Arabidopsis thaliana: one gene and its partners. The protein of the gene in region 3 interacts with the protein of the main gene of each other region in a pairwise test. Each region holds a gene or a part of one and is shown on either strand. Other genes may lie near its edges. The genes, in order: SDG20, AT3G24820, AT2G18090 and PRE1.

The links.
Region 1: the proteins of AT2G18090 (region 3) and SDG20 interact in a two-hybrid assay, tested with the Arabidopsis thaliana proteins (one large-scale study listed by BioGRID).
Region 2: the proteins of AT2G18090 (region 3) and AT3G24820 interact in a two-hybrid assay, tested with the Arabidopsis thaliana proteins (one large-scale study listed by BioGRID).
Region 4: the proteins of AT2G18090 (region 3) and PRE1 interact in a two-hybrid assay, tested with the Arabidopsis thaliana proteins (one large-scale study listed by BioGRID).

Annotation. Positions count from the first base shown.
Region 1 is NC_003074.8:938,083-946,404, reverse strand, and holds SDG20 (SET domain protein 20), read right to left. Parts: upstream 6,506-8,322; 5' UTR 6,430-6,505; coding exon 5,766-6,429; exon of another isoform or gene 5,295-5,765; coding exon 4,894-5,294; 3' UTR 4,311-4,893; downstream 1-4,310. Other genes in the region: AT3G03770 (Leucine-rich repeat protein kinase family protein), read left to right, coding at 1-168, 242-285, 454-565, 645-957, 1,080-1,102; LBD20 (LOB domain-containing protein 20), read right to left, coding at 1,732-2,142, 2,363-2,773; BPM4 (BTB-POZ and MATH domain 4), read left to right, coding at 6,598-7,052, 8,176-8,322. UniProt on the Arabidopsis thaliana protein: Histone methyltransferase.
Region 2 is NC_003074.8:9,059,252-9,067,499, forward strand, and holds AT3G24820 (BSD domain-containing protein), read right to left. Parts: upstream 5,226-8,248; 5' UTR 5,116-5,225; coding exon 4,926-5,115; intron 4,828-4,925; coding exon 4,697-4,827; intron 3,929-4,696; coding exon 3,831-3,928; intron 3,608-3,830; coding exon 3,466-3,607; 3' UTR 3,431-3,465; intron 3,338-3,430; 3' UTR 3,103-3,337; downstream 1-3,102. Other genes in the region: ICK3 (Cyclin-dependent kinase inhibitor family protein), read left to right, coding at 1,739-2,145, 2,245-2,337, 2,422-2,491; AT3G24830 (Ribosomal protein L13 family protein), read left to right, coding at 5,362-5,633, 5,914-6,030, 6,126-6,213, 6,477-6,620; AT3G24840 (Sec14p-like phosphatidylinositol transfer family protein), read left to right, coding at 8,050-8,056, 8,145-8,248.
Region 3 is NC_003071.7:7,860,495-7,870,134, reverse strand, and holds AT2G18090 (PHD finger family protein / SWIB complex BAF60b domain-containing protein / GYF domain-containing protein), read right to left. Parts: upstream 5,942-9,640; 5' UTR 5,635-5,941; coding exon 5,345-5,634; intron 5,232-5,344; coding exon 5,152-5,231; intron 5,076-5,151; coding exon 4,888-5,075; intron 4,735-4,887; coding exon 2,818-4,734; 3' UTR 2,315-2,817; downstream 1-2,314. Other genes in the region: AT2G18100 (transmembrane/coiled-coil protein (DUF726)), read right to left, coding at 72-142, 223-314, 408-505, 621-773, 885-1,053, 1,236-1,721, 1,811-1,892, 1,986-2,206.
Region 4 is NC_003076.8:15,954,005-15,961,063, forward strand, and holds PRE1 (basic helix-loop-helix (bHLH) DNA-binding family protein), read left to right. Parts: upstream 1-3,363; 5' UTR 3,364-3,684; coding exon 3,685-3,810; intron 3,811-4,146; coding exon 4,147-4,299; 3' UTR 4,300-4,555; downstream 4,556-7,059. UniProt on the Arabidopsis thaliana protein: Atypical and probable non DNA-binding bHLH transcription factor that integrates multiple signaling pathways to regulate cell elongation and plant development.

The DNA of each region.
Region 1 (8,322 bases), on a different chromosome or scaffold from region 3:
ATAAGCGTAGCGATAGGTGTAGCAAAAGGGATCCAGTTCTTGCATACCGGTATTGTGCCTGGTGTTTATGATAACAACCTTAAAATGACAGACATTTTGCTTGACAATAACCTTGCGGCGAAACTCAGTAGCTATAATCTTCCATTGCTTGTGGAAGGTCTTGGAAAGGTAAATGACGATGTCAAAAGTTCGAATGTTTTTGTTTCTTGAATTTTGAATCTCTTTTGCTTTCCTTTCTAAGGTGGGGCAAGTAGGATCTCGGAGCGGACCTAAAGGCACTCCAAGGTGTGTAATAATCTTCTTTACTCTGTTTCTCATCAGCTTGTAAACCCGGTTATATGGTTTAATCCTCTGTTTCTCAAAAGAATCAAAAACGGTTTATATGGTTTAATCCTCTGTTTCTCATCAGCTTGTAAACCGGTTTATATGGTTTAATCCTCTGTTTCTTAACAGCATCAAAGACGAAGATAAAATCGATATCTATGATTTTGGAGTGATATTGCTTGAACTTATAGTGGGAAGACCATTGAGAGCAAAGAGTCAAGTCGATGTTCTAAAAGAGCAGGTAACACCATTCGATATATATGTAGCTTGATGTGGAATCGCTATCATCTACTTTAAAAACTCTTTTTTATTTGTTGTAGTTACAAGCAAGCATTTCAGCGGATGATGGAGCACGTAGGAGCATGGTGGATCCAACGGTCCATAGAGCTTGTTCAGACCAATCACTGAAGACAATGATGGAGATATGTGTAAGGTGTCTCCTTAAAGACCCTTTAGAACGTCCTTCCATTGAAGATGTCCTGTGGAATCTTCAGTTTGCTTCTCAAGTTCAAGAAGGTTGGCTACAAAACAGCAATCCCTCGAGCAATCTCGGCTCGCCTTCTCCTGCTGCTTCCTCTCTTCCTCCTCCCTCTCGTTTACACGTAACAACACTCGAATCTCCCCGAGATTCAGGTATTTTTGAACTCGATCTTTTATGATCAATTGATTCAGTTCAGAATAGAATTTGATTGTTAAAGATTTGAGATTGAATAAGTTTATTGATCTGAGACTTATTTGTGTGGTTGTAATTGCAGGATGTGAAGAACATGAGAGGTAGAGAGACGAGGGTTTTTGTTTGGTCTTGTTCACTGATCACTACTCTTTGGAAAGAACATAACCTTTTTGTTTGTAATTTGATGTTTGTTTTTGTTTTTTTGTCTTTAGTTGTGTTGAGCTTAAACGATCATAACAGTTAATAATATAGTTAATTTTTCTTATAAACTTTACTTAAAAGAACAGTGTCGGTTAATTTTTATTCTTCAAAAGGAATACAAGTCCAACAATGGTGAGATAATTTTGGAAAATTCAATCGTTTTTTCTTCCTGTTTTGTTCAGCGAAAATAAATTAAAATTGTATATAGAAATTGAGATGGAACCGATTTCTAGGGTTTAGAAAAGATTTGCTTGATTGATTCTTCTTGTCCAAGAAATCAAAATAGAGGATAATGGCTGGTGTTGGATCATCAAATCCTTTACTTATTTATTAATTTGGATTCGTATGTAAATTCAGTTAATTCCAACTAGTATGATAATTAACCAATAACTACATGCATATATCTCATTCAAATATTTCACGACAACTCTACATGTATAGTATACGTCTGCTGGATATACTTATTCTCTTTCTCAACATTATTATAAAAACGGAGATATATTTAAATTAAAGACAAACCCTAGGTAATACATTCATCTCCGGTGAAAATCCTCCGCCGGAAATATAACCTTCGAAGCCACCGCCGTCGATCCAACAGCCACCGAAAAATCAGCACCGCTCTCTTCCTCATCCTCATGCTGATAATCTCCTCTCCTTTGCTGATGCGGTGGCATTGGCTGCAACGAATGTTCTAAGTTAGTCGGAGCCATGACGTCATAGCTGACGGCTGCTGCATCTGCCGTCATGGTGAAGCTGTTCATGGCGGCTCCGGCGAGAGTGGTGGAGGCGGAGGAGTTGTTGGAGTATTCGGGTTGTTGCATAACGACTAATTGTTGTTGCTGTTGTTGGTGATGAGTTTGTTGTTGCATAACGTTGGCCATTGCGACTCTACTGTTTATCAGTTGTGATTGCACCACCGATAACTCCGCCTGTAGCGAGGCCACCTAATTAATTTATGGTTAGAAAAGTATTTTTTATTTAATTATGAGCATCAATTATTTATTAGTCTTAATATAGCATAGGAAATGAATTTGCATTTAACAAAAAATCTTACGAAATATTCGGTTCGATTTTAACCGTTACAAGCTTTACTAAATAACAAAATTTGGACACCTGATCATTAGTATATCTTATTAGAAAAAGTTAATCAAGTATTAATTTTACCTGTTGTTGGAGAGCAAGGATGGTTGAGACGCAGCCATAGACAGGATCAGAGAGCCTAGCTTGAGCCTCGTATGAGATCGTAACCACCGCATCATGACGACGGTTCACCGGAATATGATGCAACAGTTTCGACACGTTGCTGGCTCCGAAAACCTTATGAACCGCCGCGAACCTAGCCGCTCCTTGGTCTGACCCAAAATGTGGAGCGAAAATGCATCCACTCACACACTTCCTTCTCAAGAACTTGCAAGCCCCACAAGGCGAAGCCGTCCCTGTCCCCGTCGTTGCAGCTGCCATGGATACTCCGCCGGAACTAAGTGATGACGTCGGAGTTTGCTGTGAGGTTCTTTTTCCGGCTAGAGATTTCCGGCGAGAATCTGAGGTGTTGTGGCCTCGCTGCTGATCAGCCATATCACCAAACAAACATTAAATAATTAGCTTTAGTTGATGAGAGTTTCTTGCGAGATAAACGATATCTCTACTTATATGTGTATGTTAATTTATATGAAGTGTATATGTACATGTGTGAATGTGGATATATAAGTAAAAGAAGAAACGGAGTAGGCCACGTTTGTTTCATGAAGGAGGTCGCGAGGTAAATGTGGTAATCTTTTTTTTTGTTATTTAGTTTGTTTATAAATTTATTTCATTTCCAAAATTAGTTTGGTCAATGACTTTTTTTTTGGTGTTTTGCATTTTATAGCTTTAAATGTTATTCAAAGATTTTTCACCATTTTCCCCCAATTATGTTATTTACTAATTAAATTATTTTCTTCCTTTAAGTTAAGATTTTAATATATGACATTAATAGTATTTCACACGTGTTTTCGCATTTGACTATTTTAGTCGTTGTAAGCTTTTTTTTTGTCGTCTATAAATTTTACTTATGTTCATGGGTAACATTAACTGAAATTTAAAGACTGACAAAAAAAATATCATAACATCTAAATTAGTCAATTGCGACACTGGTGAGTGGTGACTAATTAAATGTTTGAAATAGAGTAATGGAAGTATAACACAATGTATCTATCTATTGACGAGTAAATCACATAAATATTTACTATAATTGGCGTGTCAATATTATTTTATTGATATATAACCTTTTCACATTTGAGAAGGTGGCAAATAATAAATTATATATCTTGTAACCCAAATATAACAAATTTGCTCACCATAACTTATTAATGGATTAATATGTAATATTAGTTAGGTTATATATTTACGTATTGTTAGGTACAAGAACGAGCGTATCAATGGGAAGAAGGTGTGAGGCACACGTGCAAAGAGAGTGTTTAATAAAGTAATAAGTTTATAATTAGTATTTCGCTATATATATATATATATATATATATATATATATATTTATTATCTTAGGTCTTATTAAATGTAAATATATTAGTTATGGTTAGAACTAGTATAACAAACTTATGGAAATGCGTACATTGCGTCTGAAACCATTAATTAGCGATATATACATTTGAGATTTATAATCATAAAAATCTAGAGTCCTTTTGCTTATACAAGACGAACACTTATAAACGTTTCCAAAGGGGGGAACTTTCGAAAGTTGTTGAAATGAGAGATATACAATTGCGAAGTATAGAGAAATAAACTTCAGGACATTGACAATAATATGAAATGAAGTACACGATTTAGTTGATAAGAAAAGAAAAGAAAAAAAGTATACACGATTAATTTCCTTTTAGAAAAACCAATCATACATCGATTTGATGTTTAAGTCTAGAATATGTGATGCAATTTAAATTATCTGTTTTTGTTTTCCCTGAGTACCCAAGAATATTGGGCGGAGCAGATTGATGCCAATATCAATATGTAATCAGTACATGCATGCATGTGGTATATATAGAGAGAAAATTGTATGTTTTTGCTTACATAACTTAAATCAACCAGACAACCAGTGATGCATGCATGTGGTATATAACGAAATTCACATGAATGTTCTTTATCTTAAGGAAAAAAGGAAGATAAATCAGACGAAAGTTAATTGTCTCAAAAGGTAAAACAAATGTACGATACAATGATTAATAACAAATTGTATAGTATAGCTAGCTACCACAATCTAAGTATCGTATTCGTACGTAATTTCGTATGGATAGAGAAGTAAGTATATATGTGAGAGTGTCTGAGAGAGGAGAGGCACGAGAATCGTGTTGACCGTTTCGTGTGGAGTTCTTTAGTAAGCTAACCAACCTTCATGTCTGTCGTGCTCCTTTTCTTCACAACATTAATCCTCCCTTTTCTTTTTCCGTACTTTGCCATTTTCAAAATTAGTTTTATTTCACGAAATTCTTAGTATTTCATGACTTCATTTTGGTGGGTTCATTTTCGTGAATTACTTCTAAATTTCCCCCATTCCTTCTCCAAATCAGTAGAGCCGCTATTAATAAGAAAGTGTAACTTCCGAATGACAATGACGGTGCTTGGTTGTGTTTGCTACAAACATAGAACTCGAATTTTTCAAATAATAAGAGTGTTGGACATTAGTATAGCGAGACAAGATGATGATGAATTCAGGTATTCTCACAAGGCAACGTTCCCAAACAGCAGGAACTACCACAAGAGCAGTTTAGCTTGTCGTCTCTGTTCTCTCCGGCCACACTTACGTCTCCATAACTGAAACTTAACTCCTCCTCTGCGATTATGTCCTTTGCTGCAAAGAAACAGAGCCGAGGAAGCAACGCTCCTGAGCTTCTCAACAGAACAGTGGAGAGATTTCCACCGTCACAAGAATGGTTGATGAATCTAGCAACGTTCCCAATTCTTGTGGCGTCGATGTTTATCCTTAAACAAGCTTGTCCTGAAGGGAGGTGTTCGCGTACGACCAAAAGAGCTGAAGCGAAGGATTGTGTTGATCTGAGTTTGTCGTAAATGTTTTGACGTCTACGTGCTTCATCTGTTGTCAATAGCTCACCTATAAGAAGAGACGACAAAATCAAGTTTATGACTTTTGCATAAACCAAGTCATTAAGGCAGATCACAAAGAAAAAACACATTCAAGAAAGAAGAAAGATTTGTCATTATCTCTAATCTCCAAATCCAGCATTGTGATACTACCTCTAAACGATTGAAACAAGAACATTTCGAAAGCTCAGATCTTTCACTGATGGAGATCACTCTTAATACCATGCTAGAATCTCATCTCAACGCATCGAGCTAAATCATATGCAGTCCAAGTGTAAAAGGCTAATAACTAATGCTAATATTCCTCAAATCATGTAATCTTAAGCTTGATTTTCAAGTTCCAATTATCAATCTTCCAAAATTAGTGACCTACTGCAATAAAACGAATCACTATACTATTAGGAAACCAAAAGTTGGTTAACGTTACCTAATGCTAATATTCCTCTAATCATGTAATATGAAATCGAAATGTAATTGTAACCTGCATATTCACAGATGAATTGGCCTTGCTTGATAAGCTGGTCAGCGTACAAGCACCAACCTTTCTTCTCATCTCTCACAATCTTCAAACTAACCGAAACCCCCTTCTGCGTAACCCGGTTCGAACAATCGGACCCGCATCCACAACCCGACCCACATTCGTTAGCTATCTCTTCCATCCCCGCGAAAGCTAAACACTTGCAGTATCCTTCCTCACACCTCTCGCATTCGCATCCTGACTCGTCCACTAAACTCACCCCAAAACGTCCGCTTTCACTCACTGAGTCAAAACAAGGTCTAGACTCCGATCCACATTCATTAGCAGCAGCTCCCCACCATTGTCGCGGCGGAGGAGGAGATGAAGCGGGGATCTGAAAAGGTGTGTAGATGAAGTACGCGTATCGTTGAGAATCGATGGAGTTGTGAAACGGGATTGAGATGTTTTCCAAGGATCGTGCAGCGTCGAGAGATCGGTGAATGGTTAGAGATTTCGAGATTAGGGATAAGGTTTTGCAGGTTTGAGCAACAACGGCGAGTTCTCGAGGGTTTAGCCATGGGAGAATCAAATTCGCACATCGGAGAAATCGATCGGCGGCCGGAATAATGTCGGAAGCTTCTCCAAGACAACGCGTCTTCGGTGGTGGTGACTCTCGCAGTCGCTGCATATTTTTTCTCAGCCAGCGATATACAAACGACGTCGTTGCGTTTAATTCTATTTATATCCTTAAATTCTATTTTAATTTCACTTCAGTAAGAATTTTTTAAAGAAAAATGGCGAGTTTTTTTGTGTTAATCATAACTATAGATTTACTACCGTCGCTTTGGTCTGTGTAATGAAATCTGTCATTTTCACAGAGGAAAAAAACTTACAAAGACAAAATCCATTGCAAAAGAGCGAGCAACAACGACGAAATTTCGAAATGCCATCGCCACCGACGACGACTTCTCTCTCGGTGACACAGACCATAAACGGATCACACAGCTTCACAATCAAAGGCTATTCTTTGGCTAAAGGAATCGGGATCGGAAAACACATCGCCAGCGATACTTTCACCGTCGGGGGTTATCAATGGGCTATCTATTTCTATCCTGATGGCAAGAATCCTGAGGATAATTCGGCTTATGTCTCCGTTTTCATTGCTTTAGCTAGCGATGGTACCGATGTTAGGGCTCTTTTTGAGCTTTCTTTGCTTGATCAGAGTGGTAAAGGGAAGCATAAGGTTCATAGCCACTTCGATCGTGCTCTTGAGAGCGGTCCTTATACTCTCAAGTATCGTGGCAGCATGTGGTTCGTTTCTTCGATTTCTTCTTTTCAATTTTTTTATTTTTCTCTTAGCCATTTTGCTAGGGTTTGGTGAAGAATTGGCTTAGGGTCTCTGATTTCTAGTGAAAGCTCATTACTTTTAGAACAAATTTTGCTCCTTTGTTGGGGTTTATATGAGGTTACGGATGTTATTAGTGGTCAAGACTCAAGAGTGTAGATTGTTGAAGGCAAAATGAGATTGAGCTCACAACATTAAAAAATATAAAAGAGATTGAGAAATTCAGAGGAAATAAAGATACATTAGCTGTGGATTTCTCAATCTGTTTGTTTCTTTTTTGTTGTGTGACCTGTATATGAAATTGAAAGATGGGTGGTGAGAGCGATAAACAATGTTCTTTATTTTTTATGCTGGAGGCTGCTTGGCTTTATTTTTGTGGTCTGCTTGAAACTGTGAGTCTGTGACGTATGGAAAGAGAGAGGGCTTTGAGTAGAAGAAGCAAGTTTCTAGAATATGAAGGTTCTATTACCTGTTTTGGACATTCTGTAACTAGTTTACCTGAACTTTTCATAAACAGAATTTGGTTCCTGCTGCTTCACCAGCATGTAGCGTTGGTTCTGTAGTTAAGGAAACTTGATTGGGAACGAGAGAGGGTTTGGACTGATGATATTTAGGATTTTCTTGAAAAGTATTGTGTTTTCACATGTTGGCATGATTTCAAAGACCTGTCATTGTGATGTTTTACTATATAGGCACCAATTCTTTCAATATGGTAGGCTAATTCTGAAGTAGGAACATTGCTTACTGTTTACCTGCATATAGCAGCACAAACCTTGCTTTTATGAAACTGTTCATGTTAGGTTTGAAACTTCTTGTATGAGTTAAGCAACAGAGTATTGTCTTTTGCTCTCAATATTCGTACATTTGGTTTTCCTGCTTTTTTAAACATCTGTTGTTAAGTCTGCTTGTATGAATTAATCAACCATTGTCTCTGGTTTCTTCTTCTTGAAGGTGATGCCTTTGGCTTTGATTTGTCTCTCTATTAGAAAGATCTCATTGCTTATTAATGCAGAGGAATAATTCCCTCTTAGAGTTTTGTACTTCCCTGTTTCGCTCAACGGATCCTTATTCAATTTTATATGCTTACAGGGGCTACAAGCGCTTTTTTCGAAGACTTATGCTGGAAACATCTGATTTTCTGAAGGATGATTGTCTGAAAATTAATTGCACCGTGGGAGTTGTGGTCTCAGAAATAGATTGCCCACGGTTACATTCTATTCATGTCCCTGCATCTGA
Region 2 (8,248 bases), on a different chromosome or scaffold from region 3:
CCTTGTTGTTGTTTCACGGGTTACATATATATTAATATAAGAAGGCCTTTTAACAAAAATAAATAAATATAAGTCTGATTTAATGTATAAATGTATATCACGTAACAGTAGATTAATTAGTCGCCGCATCACGATTCTTGTTTCAAAGAAACAAAAAAGAATAAGACTGTGTTTGCTACACAAAAGAAATGTAGAAAACCAAATTGAGTCATATATTTACATTTCAGATACTATAAAGTATAAACTAAATTTTATGTAAAGGAAAATTAATTTTTCTATTTAGACGTGAGTATAAGCATGTAGTCAGACCAACTTTATTTGTTCGACAAATTTACCAACAAGTCAACTTTTGAAGCCTAATTTATGAAAGATAATCTCAACTATTACATCACAAAGAGAACGGTTGTTGAGATGATTACATAACTATAAAACTAGAAGCAACCAATATAAATGTCCAATGCTAATAAATCCAAAGAAAATAAATACTTAGGTAAGTGATCAACCCTATGATGTTAATTTTAAGACACTTGTTTACTTAAAAAAAAAAAATTTACAGTCAAATGTATCTGTATACAATTAATGTGTACGTTTTTGTCAAATGTGAAGAATTTAATAGATGGTTGACTCTTTTTTTCTTTTGAACCAATAACCTGCATGACATTTGAAAATCTGAATGCTAGCTTTTGTTTTGGATTGTTTGTACAAAGTTAACGTTGACTTGTCTACCAAATTTTATGAAACAATGAAAATGGATGCAAAAAATGAACTGCCTTATTATCTTAAACCAAAACAAATTTGACACATACAACGATCTTTGCATTATTTAACAAAAATAACTAAAAATTTCCACACGATATCAATTGCTTTATAATCATGGATGGTCTACCAAAGCAATTAATATAAGCTTGATGATCTTTATTCTCAAAGACCTTGTTACTTTCGGCAGCCTTTTATTATTTGTTGCACCAACCACTCATAAACTTTAAATACTATATATATAGTGTATAGAATAATTGGAATATATATTTCCAAAAATGTTCTTCATTTGAGAACTATTATTTTATGTTATTTTGGAGTAACTAAGAATTAATTATATAATATAAGTGAAATATAGAGTCGGAAATATGTCGTTTACTACATGAATTATCAAAAAGTTGTTATTTAATACGTAAATTTTATATATAAACATTTAATATATGTAAAAATTATTGACCGGTTATTTTACACAAACTTAATTGTTTATCAGCCAAAATTTATACCAACGTAAAAAAATTAGATAACATTAACTTAGTGTAAAATAACTTTTTTCTATATATTAAATGATTATATTCAAAGTTTACGTATTAAATGAATATTTTTTAAAAATTTGCGTATTAAACTATATTTTTCTCAAGCAAACTCAAATTAATACTTTAAATATCTCATATATTGTTCATAATTTACTTTTGTAAAGTAGACTTTTAAGTTTTAATCAGATAGAATACAAAAATTAAATTAAATTCCAATTAATTAAATTTTGATTTATCTTTTTTCGAAGAAAATGATGACAATCAGGTGAGAGGGCCTTTGACACCTTAAAAATTTGTCTAATTTGTTTTTTGATTCGATTTTAAAATAAATATTTCCATTGTCCTTTTAGTTTTCACTTTTTCAGATTAAAAATCACTTTTTTCCTCCTCCTTCGTTGCTTCCCTCCTTTCGCTCTCGACCGGAGATTCAGTAAACCACCTTCCCGGAGATGGGAAAATACATTAAGAAGTCAAAAGTCGCCGGTGCCGTTTCCGTTAAGGATAAATCTCACCCACCCGCTCTAGGTTTCCGTACCAGAGCCGCCGCCGCTAAAAACCTCGCCCTCCACCGTCTCCGTTCTCATTCCGACGAAGCAGACTCCTTTAACTACCTCCAGCTCCGGAGCCGCCGTCTCGTGAAGCTTCCATTACTCACTAATACCAGAAAACAGCAGAAGCAACAGCTCATTCCTAGTGTCAATCAATGTCAAACGAAAAACCCTAGGGCTAGTTCCGGTCCGGCGAAGAAATTAGAGCCGGATACGACGACGGAAGAAGCTTGTGGTGATAATGAGAGAATATCTAGGTCTGATTGTAATTTTGGAGATAAAGGTTTTGATTTGGAATCAGAAAACAGGTAACTTTAACTCTGTTTTTTTTTTCATTTTAAAGCTCCAAACTTTTTTTTTTTACTACAATACAGAGATTGAGTTTTGATATGTTGGTTCTCTCATAGGAGCATGATAAGTGATTCAAAATCAATACAAAGTGAGATTGAAGACTTCTTTGCTAGCGCAGAACAGCAACAACAGAGATTCTTCATTCAAAAGTACAAATCCCATTTTCTTTAGTGTCTTGATTCTCTTGAGTTTTTAGAGTTTGGTCTGACTTTGGGGGAGTTATGGTTTTGCAGGTACAACTTTGACATTGTCTCGGACAATCCATTGCCTGGACGTTACGAATGGGTCAAAGTGATGCCATGAAATGAGTTGTGTTCGATGTAAAGTTGTGTGCTTTAGGAAACATCTGTGTTGGAACAGAGGAGATGAAAATTGCACACAGACTAACTTTGTGGGGTTTTAGGGTTGGTGTATAACTTGTTAGTCAAGAATAATGTAATGTTAATCTCTCTCATTTGCTACAAATAAATGTCTAATTTAACTGTCAAGTTACTTAAATTAGTATTGTAAATCTCTTCATTGTTCTTTGGTTACTTCAGTGAAGGTCTGAGTTTTGTGGTTCTGCATTAGAGTTACTTTACAAGTCATATACTTTGGATTCAAGTAGCAAAAGTAGTGAACTTGTCTGAACAAAAACCTTAGTCACAGGTTTTATCTCTATCTTCTTTATTGATAGTTTGATACTCTAATCTCATTGGGCTTTTCACACATGTGGGTACTTGTACCAATTCCTCTGTCATACAGGTTGCAGTAAAATGCTTCGATTAGATTTCATCTCTCTCTTCTTTATTGGCACTGCACTCACTGTCTTGCTTTCTGGAATTATTTCTTCAAAAGTCTAAGTTAGTAGCACCTTTCATGCTAAAGATTAGGTTTCTTGGTTTCTGTAAAATATTTCACCTCTTTAGATCATTTGCTCATCGGATGAATCAAAACATTAAATAATGATGTCTATTCTTATTAGTACAAAGCGTTTAAGACCACTGTGTTATGTCTGATACTAGTACTAAATTCACATGATCATTTACATCTCTGAAGAATCAAAACCTTCTTGGTTTTGTCACCTTTTAACACATGAACAATATTTACTGATCAAGCCCTGCTTCTCCGATGGTTCAGCGTTTTTGTTTGGTTAATTTGTGAGCAAAACTGCAAAAGCAAGTCATAGGATGCTTAGAGTGATTTCATTCTCGTTGATAATAGTTGTATTAAGTAAATACGTAGTCTGTAATATTACAGTACCTGTCATGTTCCATCCCAACTCTACCACCGAAGCTTCACGGAGTTGCAGGTCCTGTACTCAACCTTTGCTTTGTTTCTGACATTTCAACTTCATATACACCCTTGCTTTCAGAAGTTTTACTGTCTTCCATGGCCATCCTCCTGATTTGAGCCTGTTGGATTGCTAGCACCTCATATCTGCAAATAATTTCCATGAACTACCAATGGTTAAACTCATATTTCTCGTGATCTTTATTCATCACTTTGTTACAAGCTAAAAACCCATCTCACTATCTCTATATGAAAGTGGAATCATACACAGAACAACAGAGTAAGGTGCATTTAACACCTACTAAGGGCATTACACCTGGAGTTATGGAACCATCTCAAACGAAATTTTTTGGCATAAGAAAGTACTTACTTTGCCACAATCTTCCTCACAAGCTGGAAATATATCCTCCAAAACTGATGTTCCTTTAAAACTCGCGGGCATAACTTGAATCTCAACTGTGAGAGTTCCTGTAACACGAAATCAATCTTGTTTAGAGCAGCTTTGAAAATAGATTCGTTTAAACCCAATGGTCCTATCAACCAAATTCAATTTTACCAACTGTGTAACAAAATCATCTTGAACTGCAAACACGAGCATGTTTACCATTTTCACTAACATGAGCCTAACCAGATTACAAGCAATTCAGGAAGATAGTAGCATCAAATGAACTATAAGATTCGGCACATAAACTCTGATCCGATTCTGATTCAAGTGATACCAGTGGACCAAGAGCTCTACCACTACCAGTTCCATCCATTTAGAAATCTTGCTTAGTCCTAAAGAGTAACTTTCAAATTTCCCTATAAGATTCGATCCATTGCTCCTAATTGACCAAACCCAAAGCTACAAGCAAATCAAGAAGACAGCAACTTTCTATAGGCGCTATAAGAATCATCAACTCTTATTTGAATCTAATTTAAATAGCACCGTTAGCTCCAAAATCCAATCATTGATCATTTGAAATCTCTACAGACAACAGCTACAAATTCCATTCATTTCAACACAAGTTCAATCATCAAAAGAAGCAAAATTTAGGAAATCAAGAAGACAACAGCTATGTAATAGGCTATATAAGAATCATCAGCCCACACACTCAGATATGAATCTAACTTTAAAATAGCACCATTGGCTCCAAAAGCTAAACTTTGATCATTTGTAATCTCTACAGCTACCAATTCCATTCATTTCAAAACAAAAGTCAATCACAAAAAGATTCAAAATTCAAGACCAAAAACCTTCGATTTCGATAACACGAGAACCGCGTGTTTCTCCTGCCAATCAGACAAATCCTTCTTCACATTTGCAGATGAACTCATTCCATTATCTTCATCTCCCAAAGGATTCACAGATACTTCTTCTTCTTCATCTGTTTTAGAAATTACAACCCAAACTACTAAAATCAACTTCATAAATCACAAAACTAAAAAAATCCTAACTAAATTGGGATCCAATTTTCGTAATTACCTTCCAGAGAGAAGTTCTTAAACGTATCAATGGTGAAGGATCTGACATGATCGATTAACTCATCAGTAACTCCCAAAATCTCATCTTTACCTTCTTCCTTAACACTCGATCCATTCTTCAAGCTATTCCCATCTGAAGATTCCTTCTTCTCTCTTAAAAAACTTCGTCGAATCCTCGAAGCTATATTCATTGCTGATCCTGTGAAGAAGAAGAAGAATCTGAAAATCTCCAATGCCTTAGAAAGTAGAAAAAATGGGCCTGGGCATGGCCTGTTACTGGGCTACTGGGCCTTATTATAATAACAAAAGGCCCAATAAATTAGGGTTTAGAGAACTCTTAACCCTAATGTCGCATCATATATAAAGTCGCCATTGAAGTGAAGCTGAGATCTTTTCGAAGAGCGGAAGCTAAGGAGAGGCGAATTCGAATCGAGAAGATGGTGTCTGGGTCAGGGATATGTTCAAAGCGTGTCGTTGTTGACGCACGTCACCATATGTGTGGTCGTCTTGCTTCGATCATAGCTAAAGAGTTGCTCAATGGACAGAGTGTTGTTGTTGTCCGATGTGAGGAGATTTGTTTGTCTGGTGGTTTGGTTCGTCAGAAGATGAAGTACATGAGGTTTCTTAGGAAACGCATGAACACTAAACCTTCTCATGGTCCTATTCATTTCCGTGCTCCGTCTAAGATCTTCTGGCGTACCGTTCGTGGGTTCGTATTCTAATCTCACAGTCTTAAAGTTCTTAGCTTAGTATGTGATTCTTGAAAATGAAGATTAGAATTTGAGTATTGGGTTTTTGGAAAGTTGTTATATTTTGTGTAGCTTGTTAGGGTTTGCATCAATGGATGGATTTGTGTTTAGGTTGGTTAGTTACTATTAAGTATGAAGAAATGGTCAGCTTTTGATCTTTGTGCAATGATGTCTGTGTTAGGAATTGTATGTTTGATAGTGTGATGGAGGATTTGAAATGTGATCATTTGTCATTTACAGGATGATTCCACACAAGACCAAGCGTGGTGCTGCTGCTCTTGCACGTTTGAAGGTGTTTGAGGGAGTACCACCTCCTTATGACAAGGTCAAGAGAATGGTCATTCCTGATGCTCTCAAGTAATGTTTCTGCAACTTTGTTCTATCTTGTAATTTTGGTTATGTTCAATGTGTTTTAGCTGTCAACTGGTTTTCGTTTGTTTTGTTTTGTTTAGGGTGTTGAGGCTTCAGGCTGGTCACAAGTACTGCTTGTTGGGACGTTTGTCTTCTGAAGTTGGCTGGAACCATTACGATACCATCAAGGTATGTCCCTTTTGTCCTTTTCGTCTGCCTTATTATTGGAACAAAAGGTGCTTCATTTACTAAAATTGTATTTGTAAGTTTCCTATGAGTTGATTTGAATAGCATCTACTGACACATCTTTGTCATTGTTCTGGGTCTTTTGCTGATTGTTTTAATTTATAACTGAAGATCATATCATTGTACTTAGTTTAGTCAGGAGAAAATTATCTCACTTAATCTGTGGAAGAAACTGGGAATTTACTGTTGGTTTAATGATTTTACAGGAGCTTGAGGTGAAGAGAAAGGAGAGGTCACAAGCTTTGTATGAGCGTAAGAAGCAACTCACCAAGCTCAGGGCAAAGGCCGAGAAGGTTGCAGAGGAGAAACTTGGATCCCAGCTCGATGTTCTTGCATCGATCAAGTACTGAAGAAAATCAGCATCTATCTTTTGGTTTAACTCTTGTTTTGGTTTTTATCTATTCAGATTTTGTTTTCTTCCTTGTATCACTGTTGAAGTTTATCACCTCATTTCAGTTTTATTTATCAGTTGATACTTCAATCCTTAGGGATGAGTTCTATAACTTCTAAGCGTCCCAATTATGTTAATCTTCTACAAATATTCTTCAATCCAAATTCACTATATGGCATGACAGTTGACTAAGGAACTAACAAAATTCTCTTCTTCTTCAGGCTAGTTTGTGTAATTCTTAAGATTTTACTGGAGATATTATATCAAATAAGAGGTGCGTAAAAGTAATTTTATATTCAAATAAAAACATTTTGCCATGAACAAAAAAAAAAGGTTTTATTATTTCATATGTAAGCAAGGCCATGAATTGATCAACTCACGTGGTCTACCTGTCCCTCTCCTTTTGGACCTAAAGTTAGCTACGTGGCACTTCCTTATTTCCGTATAAAATCTGCGTCGGCACTTACCACGTGTCATACAACTAGTGGAGACAACATGGAAAAAACTATTCTGTCGGTGGACCCACATCAGATTTTTAATTCCAAAAATAAAAGTTACACATAACCAAACTAATACTGTTAAAATTGACAGTTATGGTTAGCTTAGCGCTTACGCGTACCGTAACCACCGCTACAACAACCAAGCGGTCGTTAAATCTCGCCGTTAATAAGAAGTTAACTAACAACACCTTTATCTTTGACTAGCCGTAACGTTAATTACTCTCCAAATCTCAAAGCATTGATTAATAAAACAAATGTTGACTAATAAAATCTCCGGTTAAACCTGGTTTACTTACCGGTTTAGTTTCGGTTTTCATTTCTACTCCATGTTAAAGCAAGCTATAAAAATGGCGAATATAACCATCGTGAAAGCTTTCTCTCTCTTCTTCTTCTTCCTTCTTCTCTGCATTTAATTTTGGGTTTGAATACGACGCTTCGTCTTCTTCTTTCTCCAAGCTACGTTCCGAGGAAAACTTTATACGTATATGTATATAAAAGATTTGACTTTGTAATCTGAAAACGACGTTTTTGTTGAAAGAGAGAGCTTTTTTTTCCTTCTTTACCTAAATCTGGAAAATTTAAAGAAAGATTTCTGATTTTGATACTCCGCGATTTCGTGAGATCGCTTGTTAGGTAAGAAAAGAATTCGAAGACGAAAAATGTCGAATTTTGAGAAAATCATTTCTGGTTTTTGTTTTTCTGGATCTTTGAATTTGGAGCAATAAAGGATCAGTTTTTATTTGATGATTCTTGTCTCTTGATCTTGGGTTTGATTTAAAATTACGATTTGATTTGATGATTCGATTTCATATAAATCTGAGTTAAATCTACATTTTTGCAGATACATAGGTTTTACATTATTATCATCTGTTTCTTTGATAAAAACAAATGCCAGGTAAATTTTCAGATATTGGTTTTGAAAAATCTGATTGCTTTTATGTGATTTTTGAAGTATTTGATTATGTTTGCTTTTATTGTTGTAGCATTAGGTGAGATACTTTTGGTTCCAGAAACTGATAAAGGAAAGAGTAAAGATTACATTGAGGTTTCAGAGGATGAGAAGATTACAAGAACTCGTTCTAGATCT
Region 3 (9,640 bases):
TATTCTTAGAGCAATAGCAAAAAGATAGATTTACATGGTTACACGTATTGGATAAAACTATATATTATTACTTGAAGTAAGCCAATCCTGAATTGCAGTGCTCACTGCAATAATATTCTCGGATTCCCATTGCACCGTGTACCTAAGAAGGTATTATAGCAAACATATGGATTTTATGATATAGTCACAAAAAATATACACAAGAACAATTCATTTTAATACCTTTCTAGGTTGCTAGTTAACCCTTCCCAGGGTTTTACAAAGTCTTCTTCCTTTAAAACAAAGCCAGCAACTAAGATCTCCACCGCTAATCGCTATTACACCAACAAGAAAAATAAAGAAAGAACAAAGAGATCAATGCAGAGCAAAGAGATTTCAACATGAAACAGCAGGAATTTAAAACTAACTCCTTGATTATGATTTTCTCCAATAGCTTTGAATTCAAACTCTTCAATGTCACCAGTTCTCCTAGCCATCTTCGTCCCAGTGAGCCCAGCTCCAGCAGCTATTCATGAACACATGTAGAAACAAAACAGAAGACTAAGAACTATACAATTATCATCACTTTGATTCATTTTATTTCTTAAAGGAATCTAAAACTGATTCTACTTTTTATTTACCTCCAAAAGATGCTGCAACAGCAACAGAACCAGCAACAGTTCCGGCAGCCTCAGCAGCTGCAGCAAACCCACTGGCTCCAATTACCGGAACTATTGTGCCTAGAGTTGGAGCCAATGCACCGAACCCTGCAGCTATTGCTGGAGCAGCCAATCCTGTTTCACATAATATGTAATCAAAACAGATTAAGAATTAGCATTTTCCAAACACATACTCTTAATTTTCTAAACGTTGGAAGAGATATTAACAGTTAGAAGACATCATACCACCAGTGATGGCCATCAATGTACCCCCTGTTAAAGCAGCCGCTCCAACTATGCCTCCACGTTTCCACTTAGCCCATTCACTATTTGGTGACAAAGACTCTTCTTCCTTATTTCCACTTGACTTTTGCAATGCCATGGCAGAGCATGCAGACATTGTCTCAACTGCTTCCTAGAAAATACAGAAATTGATTCTCAGGTCAATCCAAATGCACAAAACAGAGAATCCTAAATATCCCAATGTCATCAGATCCTAAATCCTCAACAAGATAGCTAACATGTAACTATAGGGTTGCTATGCTATGTGGTAGCATAAAATTTACAAAATAATTTGAATGAATGAAGCAAACAGACCATTTTAATCCACTGAAAGTCAAACCAAGTAGCAAGTAACCGCAGAGCAACATGGTGACGCGCATCATAGCCTTTCCTACGCCGTGTACATATCTCATTCTCCTCATGTTTATCTGCCAAGCAAGCAGATAGTAGCTCGTAAAGAACATTTATCTTTCTCTCATGGCTAAGCAATGCTACTTCCCCAACAGGTTTCTCATGTTCAACAATCCCAAGATTGTGGCCTCCATCTCTAATTTCACCCTCCCCGTGGCTCTCCGTTTCCTTAACCTCAGCACCAGACTGTGCCTCGGGAACAGAATACTTGTCGCGGCATTCGTTTTCGAATTCCACATGTTTCTCCATCTTAGATTCCACAGATAGAGAGCTGCTTCGAATGTTTTGATCCATAGCATCAGCAGCTTTAGCTAAGGCGGTCTCTTTCTCCACCATTTCACTAGAATCATCATCATCATCACTCACATCCTCTGAGAGTAACTTGATAAACTACAATAAACCAAAAGTAACATCCAATAAAGAAGAGCTCCTCAACATTCACAACGAAATTTCAAAATACGGAGAGAAATTAATCATACCGCACCGATGTGATCCTTAGCCTGAGTAGAAGCAGCTATCTCTTCAAGGCCATGCCAAGCTGATGAATCAATCTGAAGACATCTGAAAGCAAATTACAGAGACAGCTCAAAATGTATACATTACACACACAGAGACGCATATGAACATGACTATTCCAGATGATTTCAAGATCACCTGAGAACAGGACGGAGGAGGCCGGAAACTTCGTGGACCCAGAGATCCGCCTCATCGGAGATAGGATCACTGTCGCTGCTGATTGGCTCTCCGGTACTTCCGGTGGCCGGGATTCCCAATGGCTTTGACTGGCTGATCTGCGCTTGGTTAAGCGCGATTGCAAACAAAGCGCTTGCCGCGTATCTCTGCGACGGCGTCAAATTTGACGTAGCTTCCACCATCAACTCAGATCAACAAAAACGAAATCGAAGAAACAACAAAAAGTTTCCAAATCCAGAAACGATCAATAGAGTTCGTCTCATTTTCCAAAAACAAGTAGAATAAACTGGAGCCTACACTTGTCATGATATAAATAGATTTGAAACATTCAAAACAAAAAGAATGAAACGTTACACTATCATTATCATATATATAGAATAATAAGATGATATGATCCCTACAAATGTTTTGATTACATCCATGGACAACAATTTCTTCCCATTTTTATACTTGTTCCTAAGTACAAACAATGTAAAAAAAAAAGATACAGAAGTTGGGTATGTCTGTGCAAATCTTAACACAGGACAACGTTACAAAACCTAAATACTGAAGAAAACAATGGGTGCAGTCAAAAATACCGCGAAGAAACATCTTCTACATATGCACCACTCGTTTTTTTTCATTTTTGCTGATGATTCTGCCATTTATTTATGTTCTGTAATAATCCTGCAAAAAAAAAGAGAAGAAAGAGGGCATAGTCCACCATCGATCAGACGAATCTAGGACATTGGATGATCTATGGTAACCTGTGCCCCAGGTTATGATTTCTCTCTATGTGAACCCGAGCCCACGACTAAAAATGCACGGTGCTGTTAGATCGTGAATGCATTTGAAGATCGTTTGTGGAGCTCATGGAGTCACCTTTGCTTACATCTAGTGCTGGGCTATGTCCTTCTGCGGGACTGAAGCTATCGTTTATTGAGTGCCGGATTAATAATTCTTCAGGACCACGGAATGTCGAAGTTGGAGAAGGAAGACGTTTTTGGGACTCCATGGCTTCCACTTCTGCCAAAAGATCTGAGACTGATTCGTCGCATTCGTCAGGTCCAGCCACAATGGGTTGCCAATCAGTGGTAGTAGATGCAAAGTTGAATTTGAAAGTTGGACTAAAGAGATCTAAAAAGTCTATTTCTTGATTGTCTGGGAAAGACGTCAAACCCGAGTTCGAATCCCACACATTTGAAGCACTGCTTGGAGTTGCAGCATTCCAGTTCTGTCCACATGACTGGACTGTAGCCGTGACTTGTTTCTCAGCTGAGCCGCTAAGACTACCGTTTTGATTGCAAGCAGTCGTTGCTGCACTGTTTCCATCTGTCTGACCAGCACTCCATCTTTCATGTGGTGGCAGAGAGCAGTTTGAGTTTCTAGGTAATGTAGCCAGCGAGAGTGAACAGCTTATTGGGCTTTGTACAAGCAAAGAACTTTCAACTTTTCTTTTGTCCCAGAGAGAGATAAAACCCACAGTATCCCTTTCATTAGAAAGAGAAAAATCCAATGGCACGGCGTGGCTACAATTGTTTCCGCTTTTGTTACTCACATCCGAGCTCCTTGTGATGACACTGTTACTGCTAGAAATAACACTCTGGTCAGTGCACACTGAGTTGGGGCTGAAGTCAAGTATTCTACTCTCTATTTTAGGAACAGCCACAGACCTGTTTTGATCGTTAGCTATAGTAGCTGTCACTTCCTGCTTGGGGATAGAATGATTCTGTAATAACCCTGTTTTATGGAACTGCCCATTTAATGCGTCAGTCAAAAGTATGGAGCTGTGTTGCTGTTCACCCAACCTCCATATTCTCAGCTCTGGTGGGAAATGCCCGCTTGAATTCCATTGTCGCAGGTTATATAACGAAAATGGTCCATGAATCTTCCCATCTGGATCTCCATATAACCATACCATATTTGTATCCAAACCATCAATTGGCTTATTGGACAGAGTGGCACTTGTGTCAGGTTTTACAACTGCATGGTTTCTGCTATCAGAACTGGAAGGTCTAACTTGAATACTGTGCCCGTTCAATTGCTGTGATTCCCCTTCTTGATGCTGTTCAGATGTATTTAACCTATCACAGCTTCTGCCCGCATTAACCTGGTAAGACATAGTTTCAGTGACTCCTCCGGCTGAATTATCTGTGACTGGAGACCTAACTTGATCGATGAAGTGAGAATCAAGAAGCTTTAACATTTCCAAGTTGTCCACTCGCTCCTTTCCAAACAATCTCATAAGCTTGGAGTCACACATTATTTCAGAATTCTGAGGAGAGTTTTGTAGATTATTCCGTCTCACATACTCTAGCACGAGAGTTTGGACATCATACTTTGATAAGACAGAAATATCACCGTTTTTCATATACCCCACAAAGTCCAAAAGCTCATTGGTTGCCCAAGTAGCAGCACTAGTCAATTGTGGAAGTCTGTCACCCAAAGAACAGTTTGAATCCAAAGAAGGACCCAAATTACTCACAGAAACAGCATCCATTTTCCTTACTTTAGCACGACGTATTTTCATAACCCCAGGAGAATTTCCATCATCCTTTTCATGAACCCGACTAGTAGTTCTTCGCTTAGCGGCAGTAGAAGAAGAAGATTTCCATGGATTTTTTGCTTTGGTAAGATCATCTAACGATAAACCTAGCTTTTCTTTAAGAGAAACCCAGTAAATCTTAAAAAGATACTCCCAGCTGCCTTGATCATCAAAATCAACCTGAACCTAGAAAATGTACATGTAATACATTTAGCTAGAAGAAAGAATCCACATTAAAAAAACAAAGCGACATTACAAGAACAGACCTCAAGTTCCACAAATAACCTTGTAGTACTGCGAGTAAGAGAAAGTAACAAAATGTAGACAGGATTCTCATACCTTTTCTTTGTTAGCTTCAGCTGCATTCTCAATAAGCATTATAGTCTTCATACAAATTCCACAGAATCCTTTGTTCTCCCTTACAACTACATACTCTGAGCTTCTAACACACCTCTTACAAACTGAATACGGACAAGTATAACACATGTAGAACGAATCCTTTTGACAAGTAGTACATATGTGCCAACCTGAAACCAAAAAACCATCCTCATCACTATGAACCATCTCAAAGAAGAGAAAACAGATAAAAATTGAACAACTTACCACAATTCCATTTAGATCTCGATCTGAAGAATGCTTCAGTACGCTTAACACAAGCTGGGTGATAAGCCTTTGGACATCCCCTGACAAATTAAGAAAGAATCATCATCAGTCACAAGTAAAAGTTTCTATTTTTACAAGTAGGAATGTAATGGAGCTGGGAGAGTAACTTGTCTAAGCTCAAAACTTCACTAACCTACGATCGCAGAGAACAAGACTACCACCATCGAAGCAAACAAAGCAAACATCTTCATCTTCTCTTCTCTTCCTCGAAATCGGAGGCGAAGAAGCTTTAGCTAAAATTCTCGGCGGACGACCACGTCTACCTCTCTTCTTCAAAGAATCGGAATCTTCTTCGTCTAACTTCACATCCGAATCTAACGGAACACCACCACCATCGAAGAATCCCGGAGGAGAAGAAGAAGAATCATCTAATTTAACATCGGAAACACAATGATCGACTCTCATAAGATCGATTTCCGGCATCGATTCGTTGTTGGCTCCTCGTGAAGCCAAAGAACACTTTTTTTTTGCTTCTCAGCTCAACAAAAAGACAAGAACGAGGAAGCGGAAGATCTGAGGTTTTAAAAAAAGAAGGGAAGGTGAAGCAATCGTGGAAACCCTAACCCTAGGGTTTGGAGGAGAATTGGGAATTGGAGAAGGGAGGGAGGAGGAGGTGGAGGAGATGGTGGCGTGTAAGGAGAGAAGACACAGTGGGCACATGGAAAATGGACTTACTCGTTACTCGCCAAAAGCAAGAGAGAGAGAGATGTGACAAGGCAGTGTTTGGTTGTCTGTCTCCTTTTTTTGACTTTCTAGAGAGAGAAAGAAACAACACGCTTTTTTTTTGTTGTCTAAACGCCGCGCATATGGCTGGTTCCACGTGGGCAAAGTTGAGGCTGGTGGGAGCCACTCGCGTCTTTTCCCATAAAATAAACTATTATTATTTTTAATTTTTATTATTTTTTTAACAGAGAATCTTGTTACCACTAAAAATATATATAGGTGACTAAGCTACAAGATGCAAAAAAATCACGAGGCATTAGAAAAAATTGATCTCTGAGTTAGAGGAGTATTTTCAAATTTATATTTTAAGTAATTTAAGATTCATAATGATTTATTAATTTTTAATATGATTTTAGGTAAATTTAGAGAAATTTATGATTTGTTGTAGTCTGGTTCCCCAAATTCTACATAAAAGAATTACATTTGTGTTTTTTAATTTTATCTAAAATTTTTTTCTAAAATTCTATAAGAAATTATTCAATTATATATTTTATAAAAAAAAACTTCAATTTTTCAAATATCTTAATCCTGTCTTTCTACATTGTCGTAAAAATTAGATAAACTATGGTTAAAATTAAAACACAAAATTTTACAAAATCTCTCATAATCAACTTCGACATCATACAAACATCAGAGAATTTCGCTATAATAAATTAGAATTCGTCAATTTAGGTTTTTTACTTTGACAATTTTAGAGTTTAGGTTTGATGATTTATAATTTTATTGAAGAACATCATGTTATTTTTGTTTACAATTTGTGTTGTATAAGTTTATATATCTTTTTCAATATAAATATAGTTTGTCCAATTTCATGATAATTTTTAAAAAGGGAAATTTGTATTAACATATTTGAAATTGAGGAATTTTTTCACTATACACCCTTAAAAACTAATGATATGAATATTTTCAATAATAGTGGAATTAAAATTATTATTCAAATTATTAGTTCAATAATATTTGATTTTAGAAGATTCTTAAAATATAATTGATTGACATAAAAATTTGTTATCGTAATATATATTATTTTAAATATTATTATTTTTGTATATTTATAAAAAAATTCCACAGCTCGAATTAAACTCTTAACCCCACCATTTGTTTATTTTTATTTGCGTCGATTTAGTGGGGGAGGCTTCGTGTCTTAGTCTAACACGGACTGTTATATTAATGTAATTTATTAGATATTATTTTTTGTTAAATAATAAAGTGGACCAAAGCGAAAATGAAATTGAACTACTTTTTTTTTTTCTTATGTGCAAGATGTCGTGGTCGTAGTTTCTTGCTTTGGTCTTCTACTCGCTACCTAACCATATATCTTATCTTTAATTCTCATTTCGAGATCTTCTTTCTCTTAAAAGAAAAAAAAAATCAGCTATTAATTAGTTGACAAACTTTTATATAAAATAAACGAAGTGGACATAACGATTCAAGACTCAATACTTTATTAAAGTTGCAATGATTTCTAGCAGGATAATGTTTTATAACTAAGATTAACTGATTTTTTAGAGTTTTGTTTCATTTTTTTTTTTATAACAATAATCTTTTCCAATAGTACAAAACGACACTTGCAAAACATGAGTGTTAAAGAAACACTATGAAGTGATAGAAGATAGACCTAATAATATTAATGCGTTCTGGTCTCTAGTCTCTAGTAAGCTTTTATAGGACAAATCCATGGTAAAAGGTCAAGATTTATACGTACAACCGACTAATCTTATAGTTGATATGTCGATCGACGACGAAAAAAGATGAACATGTCACGTTTAAATATTATATGTAGTGAGCTGAAATCAAATTATAGTACATAAAACAATGAAAAATCGATTGGTATATAATATATAATTCGTGATCACATACAAACATATTATCAAACTGAAGTAATCCATTGATCATAGGTCGATGTGACATGAGCTATCTCACTAGATTGTCATTGTTAAACGTATTTATCAATATACAATATATAGGATCACACATGCAGTTTTACGTGAACAAAACAGCTTTGACTTCGAATGATAGAGATCAGAGGATTTTATCAAAATAAAATATTTAACAAAACAATACCGGCAATTTTTAATTTTAACTAATGGAACTAGTTTAATAAAACCAGGTGATATTTTGTTACAAATTAAAACCCAGAAAACAAATTTAATTTCCTTGTGAATTTGTTCAAGAAATTCAGGTGGTTTTTTTTGGGTGAAAACAAATGGTAAAATTAACATTAAAGCTCCAGTACGAAATACGAAAAATTTATTTACCTCTATTTGTTTTGGTTTGGGAGTAAAATGAATATGAAACTTAGCCTTTCGTTTTGGTTGCAACCGATGATAATCAAGATGAAAAATATGTTTTTTGAAAGAGGAAAGATGAATAATATTCATAATAATATTAAGCTAAGCCTTTTAGCTAGAATGAGAAACTTAATTTTATTAGTTTATAAAGAAAATTATATTTTTAGTTTTTTTTTATCAAACTGATAATTTTTATTAAAATTAAATCTCAAACTCAGTAAAAAAAGAAGAAATACAACCCAAATAAAAGAGAAATACAGTATAACCTCTATAAATTAATATTCGATAAATTAATAACTTCTATAAATTAATAAATTTTTCTGGTTCCGAGTTGGGACTAGTGTAAAAATTGATACAAATCGATAAATTAATAAGATAATAAAATTTTTGAAAATTCTATGTAAATATATGGTCCCATCAATATTTTAAATTAATAACTGTATAAATTTATGAATATATATATTTATATTTATGAATATATATTATGTAAAGCTTAGTAAAATATGACTTTCGTATTGTTTTATTTTAATTTATATTAGTTCTTTGTAAAATTAAATTCTAATAATTTTACTACGTATAAAAAAGTTTTTTTTTGTTTTTAAATCTAATAATGGTTTTCTACTCGTAATAATTTTTAGAAAAATTATTGATTGTATAGAAAAACTACCTTTTAGATCACATTTTTGTAAAAAATTACAAAATTTGTAAAATCTCTGCATAAATTAATACTTCTTTAAATTAATAAATTTTCTCGGTCCCGACATTATTAATTTATAGAGGTTTTACTGTACAAGATAACAAGACAAGAAAACCTAGAAATACTCCAAAAAAAATACATAAATGCAAGACACAACTTTACCAAAGAAAACAAACGAGATCGAAACATGACGATCCAAACGACTTCAGAAGAGACTGTATCCATTGCAACCCAAAAGATTACCAACTCCGCAACAAGAGCAGAGAAAGCTAACAACGGGGAGGAAGATCCATGCAATACCTTGAGCATTGGCAATTATTTTGTTGTCGATATAATTTAGGAATTGCAGTCTTTGTTTGTGGTTATGCTTCCTCATCTTAGCACCTATTGCCTGTTTCTTTTCCCAAAAGTTTTTTTTGTTTGGAGTGGTTTGGATTATCAAGCGTTTCGGAGAGACGATATTTAGTTCTAAACATACAAATTAACAAACAAATGAAAATCATTTCTCCATATATATTACTTGTCTTTTGGGAGAAAATCAGAAAAGAAATCGAACATTCGTGCAACAAGAACGAATTTAAATTCAACGCTCTTGCTTTTTTATAATAAAACATAAAATAATGAGATCCCAACAGTATAATTACTTATTTATTCCTCCGACATGGATTGACAAGAACCCACTCTATGACTATACGAAGTAATTTATTTTATCATCAACTAT
Region 4 (7,059 bases), on a different chromosome or scaffold from region 3:
CTGTAAATAGATAGAATTACATAGATGTATCAGTATCTTCTTAATTGCCATTGTAGTAACACGGCAAAAGTCTACCGTTTTACGTGTGTGCACACACACTACACAATCTGTCGATGCTTTGTTTGTGATGTGATTATGTGAATATATGATGGCGAAACAATTCTTATCAAGGGACATGTTATCCGTGGAATTTGTTCGACATTTCCAGCGTAATTCGAATACTCATGCTAAATCCAGAGAAACATTTCGCAGTTATAAATATAATTGTTGGACATCTTATGTGTGTTGTATATTTCGACCTGATCAAATATTTATAAATATAATTGAATAATTCAAATCTTTGAACATAGAATCGAAGATGCCGTTTTGACGACTTTTTCAATGTTTTTTTTTAATTGTTATTTTATTCACTGCGAAGATATGATTGGTGCCATTAATGCATATTATCGTACTATAGTGTTTTTGTAATTCATTGGAAAAAAAAAAAATTGCTCAACTTTTCCAAAGTGAGTTTTTATAAATTACTTATTTAACGAGTCCTTCATTTCCACATGATTACTCGTGTTTTTTACAACATGTTTGTAAAGATGTGAATTAATTGCGAAAAAGTAGACACAAAAACATTGTGGAGCCTATGAGACCAAACATTTAGTACCCGAACCCACATGGACTAACATGTAAAATCTCCCTTTGCAATTTATTAGAATGGTCACTTTCTTTAATAATCTTGTATATATAAAACACACACACACACACCAACACACTTTTATATATATTCTTGTATTCACACATATAAGAAAAATTGATAAATGTTTTCTTTAATTATGTGCTTTATTAAAAAATTGTATGAATTAATGTTCTCGTTGAATTTTTGTGGTGGATAGATCATTGACATATATATGGTGTACTTACTATACTGTTGTCATTCTCTTGAATTATAAGTGTGAATTTCATGTCGGATGATATCGGTTAGAGTAATGAAATGTTTGGCTATATAACAAGCACAACGATGGAGAAAATAATTTTCTTATATATTTAGTATATATTGAGCAAAAAGTACTTTTAATAAGTAACGTAACGTAACATTGATTTCGTTAACTATGAATATAATCCGATCCATGTCATGCAAACCTGTCGGAAGAGAACCATTCTCACTTATATTTTCTTGTTGGTGAGAATATATTAAACTGTTATTGAATTACTAATGAAATAGAATGTTGTGATAAATTAATACACCACACAAACGAAATATTTTGAGGGATAATGAGGGATTTCGAAATTTATATAACCTTTCATAATAATAATAATATGTTCAAACAGATAATTGTATTCGACTGTTACATACTTGTCGGATCTTTATTGATAATGTTATTGGACAACAAGATATCTAAAATTTTGATCTTATGGACCCGAGGGCAGCATGTAACACGAGACATGGTGGTGACACGTGACATAGTCGATGTTTTGTGAACATTTATATAAATTAATACTCAACCAATAATGGACCAATCGAACAATTAAATTAAGTTATATGAGACATGCGATTTTATTCACTTCAAAATAAAAAAATTCTTTAAATAAATTATTTTAGGCAAAGTGTAAGTGTGCGAAGAAGTTTGAAATAAATGGTCTGAACGAAGTTTTAAAGCCGATAGATACGTTTCTTTTAAGCATTTGGTTTCCTTTTCACGTTTTATAAAAGAATTAATTATGGATTTACCATTTTTTGAATGATATTTATGGATTTTGTCATTTTTTAAATAATTTGTGGATTTTGCTCTTTTTCAGTCTAAAAAATGAAATTTAGCATAGCTTTTATTCGTTATATTAAGGTTTAGTCGAGTTTTTTTTTTGTTTTTTAAGTTTAGCATTTAATATAAAATACTTATTTTTGTAAAAATAATATCGTAAATACGTACATTTATAAGTACTAAAATGACAATTTCGTAAAATTTTAGTAAAAATGACTTTTTCAAAAGATTTTGATGAAAACGGCAAAATCAACAATAATCCTTTTATAGAAAATATTTGTTTTATATCTACTATTTTTAAGTTACATTGACATTCTATAATTTTTTAAAAGTTATCACACGAAATATTTTACATATGAGGTGAAACTATTTATGGCTTAGCAGTTAGAAAACAATGTTCCATAGGAGTCAATAATTAGGCTTCTTCCTTTCTAAAACAAATGTAGTTAGTATGGAAGATAGAATTTACATAATTCTCTCTATGCTTTTTTATACAAGTTTGGAACTATATATTTTATACAAGTTTAAAATATATAGTTTGGTAATATACAAGATTTACAGATAAATATACAAACTGTACCTAGATATTGTGGAATACAAATTTAGAGAGACAATTTAGGCGATAATACTAGTTCTAATATTAGAAGAAAAAAAATTGAATGAAAAGTCATGTCATCACATGGTAGTTGCCTTTTTGTGAAATTGCAGATGAAGGGCCACAATGTTAGATGAACATGAAACACTTATCTTGACCTTCATCAACCCCATCTTTGGGAACTTTTCGTTTCCTCCATTTAACTATTCAAATCTCCTCCAATTATTCAAAAAATTTAGTACCCATTTATTTATCCACTCTATAGGAATTATACTGTAAAATTTTCAATAACTAAGCATATGTATATTTGTGATCCATTCTAGTCATAATCATTTTCTTTTTTTTTGGATAGTTGAGGCATAAAAAGTTGGGGTTTTGGTAAAACAAATCCTAAGAGAAATCTATTTTTGTAATTTTACCCTCTACTTCTAAAATATGCAGAATAATCATAAAAAAACAAAAATAATACGCAATATATTCCTTATACATATATTGTAAACGTATTCACGATCACATACATTTTAAAAAATCTAAATTAAAGAAGAGTTGAACTCTTTGTCTCGAGGGCTTCGATTTGATATAATACTTCTCAATTTTTTTAAAACTTGACGAAATCTGACAATAGCAAAAAATGTTATATTGCGTAGTATTTTTCACTTTGTAAAATTATTCTATATTTTCTGAAAGTAGAAATGGACGATTTCAAGACTTATTTTCCACAAAATCCTAAAAAGTTACGAATCTTGAAACTTGTGTATCATTTGAACTATACACAATAACTAACTAACCATGATTGAAAACGTTGTGAAATAATTCAATCCCGCCATTACCTTCGTATAATGATTGGTAATAGTCTCGACTGATGATATGTATATATACGGCTTGGAAATCTGTAATAAAAAATGATTTCGAAGTTTTGTGGTTTAAGGGCATTCAATCTATCGCTTTCTTCTCCCGTGACATCATTGTCGAGGTTTATTGCTGCTCTCCGTCGCTCTCTCTCTCTTGTGGTCCATTGGCCTATTTAAATCTCTCTTATCACATTCTCAATTTCTTTATATTTGAAGTGTATTCAAAACCCCAAAACACTTTTCTCATTCTCTTCTCTATTTTCTTCTTGCTCTCTAGTTTTTCTTTCTTCTTGGTCGTTTCCTTTCAGCATAAAAACCTTATAAAATCATAAAAGCTTACACCTACTTGCCACATAGACATAGCCGATCTCATTATATCTCTATTTCTATTTCTCAATAGAACTTGTTTGAGCTAGTGTGAGAGAAGTAAAGAAAGAGAGAAGAATCCACAACTTAGTTAGGGTCTTTTCTTGCCACATTGTTGAACATGTCGAACAGAAGATCAAGGCAATCTTCAAGTGCTCCAAGGATCTCCGATAATCAAATGATTGACCTCGTATCTAAGCTCCGTCAAATTTTGCCGGAGATTGGTCAACGACGTCGTTCTGATAAGGTATCACGCATAATATATGCATATATTCATTTATAACGACCATTTAACATTATCCATCGTGTAAACCTATCCAAAAAAGGAAAGAACAAAAGTTTTGTAAAAAGAAGAGTGGACACTAAAATCAAACAAGAAAGAAAAAAGAAGTCGGAACTTTTGACTCCGGACATTAAGGAACATATATACCAATATTCACAACCTTTTTCTTCCATATTTACATAAGAGATTACATCAAAATCATCAGCTTGCATGCATCTGCAAACGCATAAAAGCGCATGCATTGGTTCAAAAAACATATATTATAATGATTATGATTTTATTTCGTTTTTGTTGTTGAAGGCATCAGCCTCGAAAGTATTGCAAGAGACATGCAATTACATACGAAATTTGAACAGAGAAGTTGACAATCTGAGCGAGCGTTTGTCTCAGCTTCTCGAATCTGTCGATGAAGATAGCCCTGAAGCCGCCGTTATTAGAAGCCTACTCATGTAATCTTTTTTGTTCTTTTGTTTGTTTTTGACAAGCCTATCCATGTAATCTTAAATGATCGCTCTATAATAATTATATTTTTAACATAATCGTCTTATTATGTAAAATTCAAAGAGATGGGCTTGATCTTTAATGACATACGAATTTCATAGGGTTAATTCCATAGTCAAAAGTCTCCGACATATATGTGTGTAGCAGAACTGCACGAGCATTGCCTTAGCAGGTGCATTATTAAAATAAACCAGTGGGATGAAATTTGGTGGAGAAGAATCTTTCTTTTTTTCTCCCTAACAAAGAAAAAAAAAACAGAGATTGTGATGTCTGAACTCGATTGTGTCAGTCAAGGACAGTAAAATTGCGAGAGGACATTGTTAGTTGCGAGCATTTAATTTTATACGGAATAAAAAAAGTTATTTGGCACATTGTTTTTGAGGTAACAAATCATCTAAACCTCAAAATAGAGATAAAAAGCAAAAATAGAAATAGAAGACAAAATCAAATAAACTCTTAGCCATTTTGGAGGGGAAAAGAAACCCCATCTTAACTGTCACAAAAACGTTTATACACATCTAAAGGAAAGTTTTGCCTTTTAGGACGTCCACACAAAGAAATTAAATAAAAATCAACGTTATAGTTTTATTTGATATCTCATAATTCTACATGCATGTAGTTTAAAGTTTAAACACACGTATACGCATATTGATATACATGCACCCATGTACATACATTTAGACAAGTTTGGTCCTTTCAAGGCGTAGGAGACTGGTCAAATCTATCACTCCTAATTTTAAGCCATATAGCTATACCGGTTTGGTCCTTTCAGGGTTTAGGAGACTGGTCAAATCCGACTCCTAATTTTAAGCCATATAGCTATAAAAATAATCACAAGAAGAATTACATGAAAAAGGAGAGCATTCAGAGACTAGCTTTGTTACACTCTTCCACCTAAAACGATCTTAATTTTTTTTTCTTGTTACATAGATACAATTTTCAGGTCTTGTACCCTTTTTGAATTATTATTGTAAAATTTTGAGATATACTAAATAGAATAATTAAATAGCGGAAACGATTTAAACAATAGAGCAATAACGAAACGACACAATATTTAACAAGGTATCGGTTGGTTCTCTTTCAAACCAACCACTAGTCCTCGGCTGCAACAAAAGTTTATTAGATCACTTCAAGAAGTAAAAGATATACTTAGAATTTCTACAGTAAATTCAAATACATCTGTATCTAAGAACATGAACTAAGGTTAACAAGTAAACTCATTTTACTTCCCTTTAATCATGTATGAATTCTTCTTGGAGAAGTCTTTCCAAGGTGATCTCTCCCCAAACTCCACAGCGACACAAGTTTCACACAAACTTATCAAACACTCTGTTTTCTATTTCTCTGTTTTAACAGCAATCTTTTGTATCTTGAAAATTGGAGATGATGCTTGCAACACGTTGTCCTTATCCACCACAAAAGCAGAGTATATATATGAATATGACTCTTACAGAGAGCATCAAGGAAACAATTTGGATAAAAAGATTGCTATAATAATTGGTTCTTTGCAATCAAAATATGAAGTGAACTGTGACAGTCCAAGAGCTATATATGTTTGTCTAAAAATATGAAACGGGAACATATAGAAGTTGAGCTACACTTCATAAGGGATATGACCAAGATTGGTACTCTCTGGTCAATCCTACTGACATATTGTGTAAGGACAAAGTTGTGTAATGACATCAGAAGCAGGTAAATGAATATTAGATGTAACCGTTTGTCGAGGTGGAGATTTGTTGATTATTTCAACCAAAGACTCAAGAAGCTTAGAGAGTGAAGCTTTGGTTATGGAGGTTTTAGCTAAGTTAGTGTAAACGTCATTAAGTTATGTTTTCTTTATAGTAAAACAGGCTAAAACAATATAAAATACAAATTACAGTACTCTGTTATGTTTTTTTTTTTTTAATCAATTTCCAAGATACTTCCTACACGGGGAAACAACTTTTAGAATCTTTCTCCCATAAATAAAGTTCCTTGCGAAACACGTCGTTGGACTACCGAGGTCCAATGGCCGAATAGGTTACTTCTGCCACAGTCCAAGATTCTTCGTTTCGCTTCTTTCGTGACGAGGAGGAACCAGTCTCAAGTTGACTTTTACGGACTAAATAACCAGGCGGTCCAGGCGGAGCGATCTCTATTGTGTCGCTTGCGAACATGACAGAGATTGATAGCATCGTGGGCCTATCCTCAGCACATTCTTGAACACACAAGAGACCAATCTGTATGTATCTTTTAACTTGGTGTTGTTGAAATGTTGATGAATCAAGGATAATTTGATCTATGATTTCGAGCCCTTTACCTTCCTTCCAATTCCTCCATATCTATTCATCATAAACAAAGCTTTAAGCGTTTATATCAATCACAATAAAAAATATAAAAAAAAGACGAAAATGCTTTGGATGATTATTACACTTACATATGTAATAAGACTTTCGTCGTTCTCCGAGTATCTATAAAAGTCTCTGTTTTTAACCCCAAATATAATCTCAAGAAGCAAGACTCCGAAGCTGAAAACATCTGACTTTGTTGAATAAATCCCTTCCTCCGCGTATTCCGGAGACATATAGCCGCTTTGTCAAGCAACAAGAAACACAATTGTGAGGTTTTGTAAAGTGTTTGCTTTATTTTCAAATGTAACGATGATAGTTTGTTTGCTTACTAAGTTCCGACGATCTTTGTTGTGTTAGCTGCTGTCGCACGCTTGTCGAAGAG